2 linked regions of the Saccharomyces cerevisiae S288C genome follow. The protein of the gene in region 1 binds, or shares a complex with, the protein of each later gene. Each region holds a gene or a part of one and is shown in the gene's direction. Other genes may lie near its edges.

The links. The genes of interacting proteins can lie anywhere in the genome.
Region 2: MRP51 (region 1) and RSM18 share a complex: the UniProt entries of both Saccharomyces cerevisiae proteins name them as parts of the mitochondrial small ribosomal subunit.

What each region holds. Positions count from the first base shown.
Region 1 is NC_001148.4:324,170-329,434, forward strand, and holds MRP51 (mitochondrial 37S ribosomal protein bS1m MRP51), read left to right. Parts: upstream 1-2,458; coding exon 2,459-3,493; downstream 3,494-5,265. Other genes in the region: YPL119C-A (uncharacterized protein), read right to left, coding at 1-118; putative DEAD-box ATP-dependent RNA helicase DBP1, read right to left, coding at 242-2,095; isopentenyl-diphosphate delta-isomerase IDI1, read right to left, coding at 3,695-4,561. UniProt on the Saccharomyces cerevisiae protein: Component of the mitochondrial ribosome (mitoribosome), a dedicated translation machinery responsible for the synthesis of mitochondrial genome-encoded proteins, including at least some of the essential transmembrane subunits of the mitochondrial respiratory chain.
Region 2 is NC_001137.3:252,046-257,019, reverse strand, and holds RSM18 (mitochondrial 37S ribosomal protein bS18m RSM18), read left to right. Parts: upstream 1-2,632; coding exon 2,633-3,049; downstream 3,050-4,974. Other genes in the region: HOM3 (aspartate kinase), read left to right, coding at 1-645; JHD1 ([Histone H3]-lysine-36 demethylase), read right to left, coding at 886-2,364; TPA1 (oxidative DNA demethylase), read right to left, coding at 3,358-4,974. UniProt on the Saccharomyces cerevisiae protein: Component of the mitochondrial ribosome (mitoribosome), a dedicated translation machinery responsible for the synthesis of mitochondrial genome-encoded proteins, including at least some of the essential transmembrane subunits of the mitochondrial respiratory chain.

The sequences.
Region 1 (5,265 bases):
AAAGGAAATTGGGAAAAAAAAAGAGAAAGAAAGCAACAGAATAAAGGGAACTTGATAAAACTGAAGTACCGTGGGTCAAGTAGCGTGAAAGAGTCAATTCATCGACTAATGGATGCATAAAACGTATGACTGTATAGTACTGGAGTGAAAACGAAGAGATAAAGAAAGGAAAAAGGGAGATTAATAAAAAGAAAAAAATTAAAGGAGTTCTATATTTGGATTAGTCTTTTATTCTTTCTGCTTACCACCATGAAGCGTTGCTATTTCCGTAACCGTTTTTCTCATTATCATTTCTAAACCCACCTCCAATCGAACCCCAATTTGATGTTCCAGTATTCCTTGGCCTCGTGCTCCCAAATGAGCCATTTCCACCATGTTTACGGTAGTCTCTTGAACCGTTATTACGACTATTGAAAAAACCTCCTCCTCCCCTAGTTCTTCCACCTCTTGAATTCTGTCTTGACAGGTCACTTAAAAACGTGGGAACTTCTTGATTCGCTTCATTTAAAATTTCCATCAAACCCTTCACAATATTCTGATTATTACTATTGAAGAATGAAGTAGCCACGCCTGTGTTACCAGCACGGCCTGTTCTACCAATTCTGTGAACGTAGTCATCGATGTCGGAGGGCAAATCATAATTAATGACATGTGTGACATTCGGTATATCCAAACCTCTCGCTGCTACAGCTGTTGCGACCAGGATATCAGCTACGTTAGCTTTGAAAGCAGATAAGGCACGTTCACGTTCAGCCTGTGTGCGGTCACCATGTATGGCTGTAGCTTTGAAATTTTGCATGATCAAAAAATCTGTGAGTTGATCCGCCATTCTTTTCGTTTCAACAAAAATCAATGTCAATCCCTTATGCTCTGCAGACAGTAAATCTAACAACGCAGACTTTTTGTCCATGTCATCGACATATAATATTCTTTGCGTGATATTTTCTGAGGTGGAACCGACTCTTCCTACTGATAAAAAAATATAATTATCTAAGAAATCGCGTGCCAAATGCTGGATATCTACTGGGAATGTGGCGGAAAACATCAAGGTCTGTCTATTTTCCACAGAGGGCATATCACATTCTTCAACTATATGGCGAATTTGGGGTTCGAATCCCATATCTAGCATTCTATCAGCCTCATCCAATACCAGGTATTTGATATTAGCCAAAGAAACTTTTCCGCGTTCTAATAAGTCATTCAGCCGCCCTGGTGTAGCCACCAATAAGTCACAGCCGCGGTCAACCTCCCTCATCTGGTTACCGATTGGCGCGCCACCATAAACAACGCATGGCCTAACCCAAGATCTATACGTAAATTTTCTTGCTTCTTCAAAAATTTGGGTAGCCAATTCTCTAGTTGGTGCAAGTACTAAAGCAGATGGATATCCCTTTCTAGAATAAAAGCTCTGTGCTTTCTCGGGTACTGGAGAGGGCCCAGACCTGAATAGCTCCGTGAAGAGCGGAAACAAAAACCCACCTGTCTTACCTGAGCCCGTTTGTGCGCATGCCATCAAATCCCTACCTTTGGTAACTATTGGAATAGAATATTTTTGTACTGGAGTAGGTTTGGTGAAACTAGCAAGTTTGATATTTTCCATTAACAGCTCATCCAGAGGGGGAGAACTAAAATCTAGTATAGGTTCAGGAACATCTTTTCCAGATGCATCTACGGGAATATTATCGTAATTATCAAACTTTATACCAGATGAATGGTAATCGGGATCGTCGTGTACACCAAACAGTTCGGCTTCTAATTTCGCGTTCTTAGGCCCCGGTATATGCTTGCCATTTACCCATCTATTTCCAGATGATTTGTAATTTGAGCTGCCTCCGCGGTTATAGTTCGCACTCGTCCCTCCATTTCTTTCCTTAGAAAAGCCAAAAAACCCGCCATTGTTCCCAGTTTGCCTTCCAGCACGTCTGAAAAAATCACCACCCGTAACCTTATCTTCCTGTTTTGGGGTACTTCTTTCGAATGATGGTTTTCCTCTACTTCTCAAGTGCGGTGGGACATAAGATGATTTGCCGCCACCACCACCATTCTCTTTGTTGTTGATGCTTAAATTAGATACCTTCTGTGGCAAGTCTGCCATTTTTTCTTGTAATACTTTCACTCAAAGGGGTTTTTCTTAAAATATCCTTTAACTGACACTACCGATATCTTTTATAATCATGAATAATCCTTGTTATAAAATAAAGGCATTACTTCAGAGATGACCTTAAGTAACCTTCCCTTAAAATTGTTAAAGAACTCGCGGGGTAATATTTACGTTGACAGTGATATTTGTTTTGAGAAATCAAAGAATGAAGAACTTAGATGTAGAGTTAAAGGAGCAATACGAATAGGTGCCGTGATGAAGAAAAAAAATCATACAGACATTTGCTACAACCCTTGGTGAGACTGTTTCGATCATTTTTCTTTTTCTTTTTCTTTATTTTAGAAAAAATTGAACGAAATGACATTGGCAGAGTTGCTTGGACGGTCGAGAATAGCTCAAGTAGCTAACAATCATAAACCATTGACATACACTGGCAAAAAATTTCATCCAACACATCAAATCATCGAAACTAAGCCATCGACACTATACAGACAAGAATGGGGGTTGAAATCCGCTATTCCTTCGAAAATTAAATCTCGATATTTGGTGTACAACGATTTGGATACGTTGGAAAGAATTACCACATTCGAACCTAGAGGCGGTACGCAATGGAATAGGCTAAGATTTCAAGAAATGGGAGTACCAATTGTGTCTAATATAGGCAGACAAAATCCATTTTTCAAGTACATATCTCGTCCTGAGGATGAGTCTCATGCTAAATTGTCCTTATTCAAAGAAATGAAAGGAGATACAGATATTTCGCCTGCTGCTATGAAGAAGCGTTTGAAGAAGATAACAGCACTAATTAGATCGTTTCAAGATGAATTTAAAGAGTGGCTGGTGGAAAATCATCCGGATGAATTGAAATTGAATTCTAATAAGCTGGAAGACTATGTAGTGAAGTTTCTAAACAAAAAGTTGGAAACAAAAACGAATAAAAAATTTAACACTGAAATCATTGGTACAGGTGGATTATCATACAGCTTGCCAGGAAAGCTAAAAAACTCACCAAATGGTGTCATTCAAAGGACTGTAGTACCCGGTAGAATCTTGAACGTTGTTAAGGAGAACAACGACAATAAATGGCTGGCAGCTATTGGTGGGTTTGTGGCCGATGTGGTATTTTTCCAATCACCACCTAGTTCCTTTAACTCCATGGGAGATTTCATCAGAATGAAAACGTTCTTGTTCGAGATCTTGGAGGCATCTATGGAGAAAAATGGTTCTGTTTCGATGCACGCTAGATTACTCGAACCACAAAATGACAAGACCAGAGAATTTTTCAATAAGAGACCAATTTATAAACCATTGACCTCTAGAAGGGCACGTCGACCATCAGTGGGAAACATTCAAGAGGCCAATAACCTTTTGAATATAATCAAGGGAAATTGAGAAGAGAAAAAAAAAATGTGAACAATCAATGTATATTCAGAGTTCTGTAAATAAATAAAGAAAATAAAGTTTACATATTACTAAGGATTTTTGTCGCCTATTTTTACTATTTTTCAGGTGAAATGAAACGTTTTATATCACATTTTGCTATGATAACAAAGTTATTATGATTTTTATGTAGCCTATATTATTGACGCGTTGTTATAGCATTCTATGAATTTGCCTGTCATTTTCCACTTCAGAAAGGTCATCTAATTGCTCCCACCAGTTGAATAAGTAATTCTCGCAAATAATCTTAAACCAAGGCGTAAACTTGTAACTTGGGTCAGCAAACATAGTTTTCAAATCATTTGGTGAAACCCATTTGAAGTCTCTAACTTCATTGACGTTTGGGTTGACAGTCAAGTTTTCTTTAGCGTTGATCTTATAAAATAGGATGTAATCAATTTCATGTTCACCCCATGGTTCATTGCTTGGTGCCATGTAATGGATTCTGTTTAAAAAGTGAAACTTACCCCTTGTCTTAGTTTCATCTTCTGGAATACCTAATTCATGATCTAGTTTTCTCACCGCCGCAGTAATAGCGCCCTTAATCTTATCGTCTAGCTTACCCTTCAAACCTAATTCGTCATCAATACATAGTGGATGAGAGCAGCATGTGTTAGTCCAAAGATCAGGGAAAGTTATTTTTTCAGTGGCTCTTTGTTGTAAAAGTAATTCACCTTGTTCATTGAAAATAAAGACGGAGAATGCACGATGTAGTAAACCCTTTTCAATATTTTCCATTAAATGACAAACTTTCTTGGTACCGGCACCAATAGCATTATCGTCCCAATCCAAAACAATACAATTTTCATTCATTAACTTAATTTGCTCCTCATCATGACCAGAAAAACATGTTTCTCCGCTTTCGTCATTTGACGTCTCACTAGATCGGGTATTAGGTCTTTGTTGTAATGGAATAATTTCAGGAAACTCTTCCAAAATGTCTTCAGGTGTTTGGTTTTGCACTAATTTGGCGTAACTAGATACTGCACCATGGGGCATACTATTGTTGTCGGCAGTCATTGAGGTGTAATGAATTTTTGGCTTATTTTTACTCTTCCTGTATTCCAAATACGAATACTCTAATATTGAATTAAGTGGGATATACGCCTTCTTGTCACTAGAAAACTGTTTCCTGTTAAATAGATAAAAATGAATAAATAAATATAAATGGAGTTAAGACCGAAAAAGAAAGGCAACCCCCATCGACAAGAAAAGAGTTATGAATAATCATGTTTCTTAATAACAATTAAAGGGAAAAGAATCGGCTGGGCATCGTCATTGCGAAACTGTTGACTGGAAAAATTTCAATCACAATTAAGTTTTGTCCATTTCGTTCCAGCAAGAACGGAAACTTTTACCGATAGCAGCGGAAAAAAAGAAAAAAGAAAAAAAAAAGAAATTAATATAGGCAAAATAGCCGCATGAAGCCCTTAATAACCTATACTATTCTGTGACTGTTATTTATTTACCCTCGTAATATTAAAAATGTCCTATACAATTTCTGTAATAAAACCTAATTTTTTTAGGACCCTTGAGTGTTACCCTGCTCATGTTTTTATTTTTGTTTTAGAGAAATGTAAACAACAGTTTGGGAAAGTTTCAAGAATTGTAAACAACTAATCAAGGGATAATACTATTTTACTCTTTCCTTTAAACATGAAGAACTATTTTTTGTTTACGTTTTTTTCTGAATTGAACAATAAGATCTTGTTAATTTTTTTATC
Region 2 (4,974 bases), on another chromosome or scaffold:
CCATTAGGTAACGGTACCATTATCTACCCAGATAATGTAGCAAAGAAGGGTGAATCTACTCCACCACATCCTCCTGAGAACTTATCCTCATCTTTCTATGAAAAGAGAAAGAGAGGTGCCACTGCTATCACCACCAAAAATGACATTTTCGTCATCAACATTCATTCCAATAAGAAAACCCTATCCCATGGTTTCCTAGCTCAAATATTTACCATCCTGGATAAGTACAAGTTAGTCGTAGATTTAATATCTACTTCTGAAGTTCATGTTTCGATGGCTTTGCCCATTCCAGATGCAGACTCATTAAAATCTCTGAGACAAGCTGAGGAAAAATTGAGAATTTTAGGTTCTGTTGATATCACAAAGAAGTTGTCTATTGTTTCATTAGTTGGTAAACATATGAAACAATACATCGGCATTGCTGGTACCATGTTTACTACTCTTGCTGAAGAAGGCATCAACATTGAAATGATTTCTCAAGGGGCAAATGAAATAAACATATCCTGCGTTATCAATGAATCTGACTCCATAAAAGCGCTACAATGTATTCATGCCAAGTTACTAAGTGAGCGGACAAATACTTCAAACCAATTTGAACATGCCATTGATGAACGTTTAGAACAATTGAAAAGACTTGGAATTTAAATCCACCTTTCTTCTTCACTTTAATGATAGAATATTAATTTTCCCTTTATATATATATATATATATATATACGCGCACATATATTTACATATATATTAATGTTTTGTAACCTATATTGGGGCGATTATTCCCTAAATGTAATGTCAGGGTTATACTGTATCAATTGCTAAAGTAGATCTCATTCATCGAGAGCATAGGATGAAATAAAAGATACAAGAACGTGGCGGACAAGAAGAAATTTTACGAAATAAGATCGGCTAAAGCTTTCGCTAAATGCTTCTTTGAAGTGAAATTTAACGGCTTGTACTTAACTTCAGGTTTTATAACGTATGCATGAAGTGATTGAATTGCGCAATTAGTGGTCCTGGAAAGCAAATCCCCATCACTGACATCACTAGTGATTTTATTTTTATCAAGCGCAAGATACTCGCATAATTTACCCATCACTTGATCAAACTTCGGGAAGGTAAATCTTCTAGGAACCTTTGTTAACTTTTCAATTTCCACAATTTTAAGGTGTGTCTCCAAATCACGGATGGTTAAAAAGTTGCCTCCAAATACCAAAGAGTCTACTGGTGTATAAACTGCATGAATATATCCAGCTGGAATCATAAACAAATCACCAGCATCTAATTCCATCGCAATACCATCCTCAAGAATATCACCGAGGAAAACACTATTTTGGTCTTCTTTTAAAGACCACTCAATATACTTATCTATGTTTGATTGGGTAGGTGGAAATAATAAAAACTTCTTCTGTCCTGAGATAACGTTATAATAAACAGAGGTACCGGCAAAATCCAAATGAAAATCCGTATAAGCATCCTTTACAGACATCAAAATATATTTGGTCACTTTTGGCTTGGGGTCATTCTCCTCCGCCTTCTCCCCATTGACTTTTTCTAAATGTCCATTGAAACTCCAAATTTTATCAACAAGATCATTCTGCCTAACTGCAGTGGGCCTCTCTAGTTCTAATCCCTCAATATTAGAGACTTCTAATGATATAACATTCCTTATTCGATCCCTCCTGTCTGGTTCAGTATTTGTAAAATATTCATTCCAAGATCCCAAGTTCCAATTTTCATTCATTTGTGATTGAACGTCCATTACATCAACATGATAATCCTCGCCTATCATTTCGGTGATATAATTAACTGTGAGGCATCCATTGTCTGTGCCCACATTCGGTACATATACTCCGCTATTCAGTGGATCGATGATCTTGTACGGCACATCTATATTATCAAACTTTTCAGCAAAGTCAGCGGCGTTTATAATATTTGAGCCATTTTTCCATTTTTCAAAAGATTTCATGAAACTCTCCTTATGAGGGTGATTCATTTTATCCCTTTTCGATTCACCCTCATTCAAAGCGATATAGTCAAGTAATTTCTTCTTTCTGAAATTATACCGCTTATTTATATGACTATCTTCAGGGTTTTCTTTATTCCTTTGCCGCTTTCCTTTTTGTGTGATGAGAGCGTATGCGGTAAGATATTCTCCTTCCTTATGATTAGGACAACGGTAGCTCTTGATTTGCTTCGCAGAATTTGGATAAGACAGAACTTCAGAACTTGTAAGATTTGAATAGTGAATGCGTTTCAAAGGCACGCATTTCACGTGGACCCACTGCGGGCAACTATCACACTTCACCCAAATTAATGCGCCTGGATTATCCTTCAACTGGCAATGCTGGCAAATATTGGGATCTTGCATTGCACCATAGCTTATTAGTATTTTGTTTTATGATCATTACGTCTTCTTACTCATTATAATCACCCACTTCTATTAGATGTTCTATTATGCCTTTAAATTGCATTGTAGGGTAACCTGTTGGGGGAAAAAATATCTAGGATTACTTTACATACTTAAATATGAGTCCATTATTAACAGTGTTACAGTTCTAACCAAAAAGGCAAGGTTCTACACAAAACTTCGGATGTTCAAGATGAATGCCACCACAGGCATAAAAATTCAAAACGGTATGCAACCTATCATCAAGGGAGCAGTAAGCTCCACATTTAAACGTGCTCTATACAATTTCGGTATCAAAGAAAAGAAGAGTGTCAATATTGAAATGGGGAGAACGCAACAAACAAAGAAAATCGATCAGTCTTTGTCCAAAAAACTTCCCAAAGGTACTATCTACGATCCATTTGACTTCTCTATGGGACGAATCCATTTAGATAGAAAATATCAGGCAAACAAGAACTCAAACAGGAACGATATAATGAAGTCCGGTGCAAATCCACTAGAATTTTATGCAAGACCAAGAATACTTTCAAGATATGTGACCTCCACGGGAAGAATCCAACATAGGGATATCACAGGCTTATCGGCAAAGAATCAAAGAAGACTATCGAAAGCCATTAGACGGTGCCAGGCAATAGGATTAATGTGAACTGTACTACACTAATGCTTCTCCACATGAAATAATTAAGAAAATAAGGCATTTCATAGTTCTGTCTGTAAATATACAATATGTAAAAAGAATCGCAATTAGATCTTAAGTTAAACTTATATTCATTCTTATATTTCTTTAATATACCCGTTTTATTCGCTTACTCGAATTTGGATTATGGTAATGATATTCACGCCAGAGGAATAAGCTGAAATTGACGAATAACTTTTCAAATAATTTTATTACTTCTATTATACAACTTTATAAATATCTAAGCTGCCATTTACTTAATAAGACGGGTTAATTGTTTACGCTTCATCTTCCTGACCATCTTCATCACATGATTTGACATCCCACTTCATTTTGACATCCCATCTACTAGATTTAGCGCTCCAGCTGACGTACTTAACAAACTCCAAAACACTTTCATCTCTCAAGACCAAATTGAAAGTATTCCAAGCAGGTGGATCATTAATCAATACTGAATCACCACTGTCATCCGCACGATAAACAGAAGCGTCTTCAACGTCTTCCTTTAAGTATTGCTTATTATCTTCGTCGTCGTCCATCATGTACAATTCGTAACCACCAAGCTCTCCGGATTCCCAACCGGCAGAAGGTGTCAAGCACAAAGTACCTTCCAAGACAGCATCGATTATATCTGGATTGCTTTTCAAAAGTTCATTAAAGCGACATTTGGTGGCCAATGTGAAATCCATTCCTGGCCTAAACCTTCTAATAAGGATTTGCTCACTGACTGGGCACAAAGAAGTTAGAAGAGCTAGGTATTTCTTGAAAATTGTGCTCTTGTGAAATACAGCTAGGTCAATCAACGCTAATTCTGCATCAAAATTGTTTTCCCTACTATTTCCGGAAGCATCGGAGATAATTTTAATTGCGTCCTTAGTAAACTGAAAGTTTGGCAAATCATTGTTATTCAGCGCCTCAAGAATATCAGCTTCTGTTTGGAAATTACGGTATTCCTTACCGTCGATGTACAAATAACGGGCTTTGTGTGGAGGAATAGCCGTTTTCCACGGAGCTTTCACATCTTTTGAATGATAAGGACATTCCTGTTCCAACTCTTTTTGTTTGATAACCTTCTTTAACAATTCTGATTTATCGTCATTTAAAAACGACTCAATTTGTAGAGAAGAGTTCTCAACAAACTGCTTTTGTAGTTTTTCGATACCTTTCGAGCTTAAATGTTCAGGAGAGATGTATTGAGATAGATAGGTGAACTCGGCTTCAGACAACTTAACCGAATCAGAAATCACACTAGTCATAGATTCTTTAGGTGTGTTATCAGTTTTTGCGCCAGCATCGCCCTTGAGCATTTTTTCAAAGTGCTTCACTTCATGAAATGATAAAATATTTCTCTCGTCCTTTGGAAATTCAAAATCTTCTAGGACATTAGATTCAATCTGCGCCAAAGTGGATGTGTTGTTACGGACCCACGCTTCTTCTTCACCAGGTATGTAACCTTCTTCGCCAACTTGTGGAATATGGTACCATCCTTGAATAGATAATCTGTGCTTATCAACTTTGACTTCTTCGACATCGTGGAAAGAGAAACCCGGTAAAACTTTGAAAAAAGCAATTTGATTGAACTGTGGAACTAGTTTAGCAGATGGATCGGAATGTGGAACGTTTGGTAAAATACTTGGAAAAAGTCTTAGACCACCACCATAATGCGATTTCCATTTTCTGTCGGGATCTGGTAGGTATAAAATGAAACTAATCCTTCTAGAGCCAATAACGTCATCATGAGTCAACAAGTGACATCCCTTTGTGTAAGTGTTGATGCTCATGTCGGTCTTAGAACCAGACAATTTACCAGCTTTGGTGACGTAGCCAAAAAAATCTCGATATTGCTTGGAATACAGAATCTGGCGCAGCTTGAACAAATTAGGCAAACGGGACAA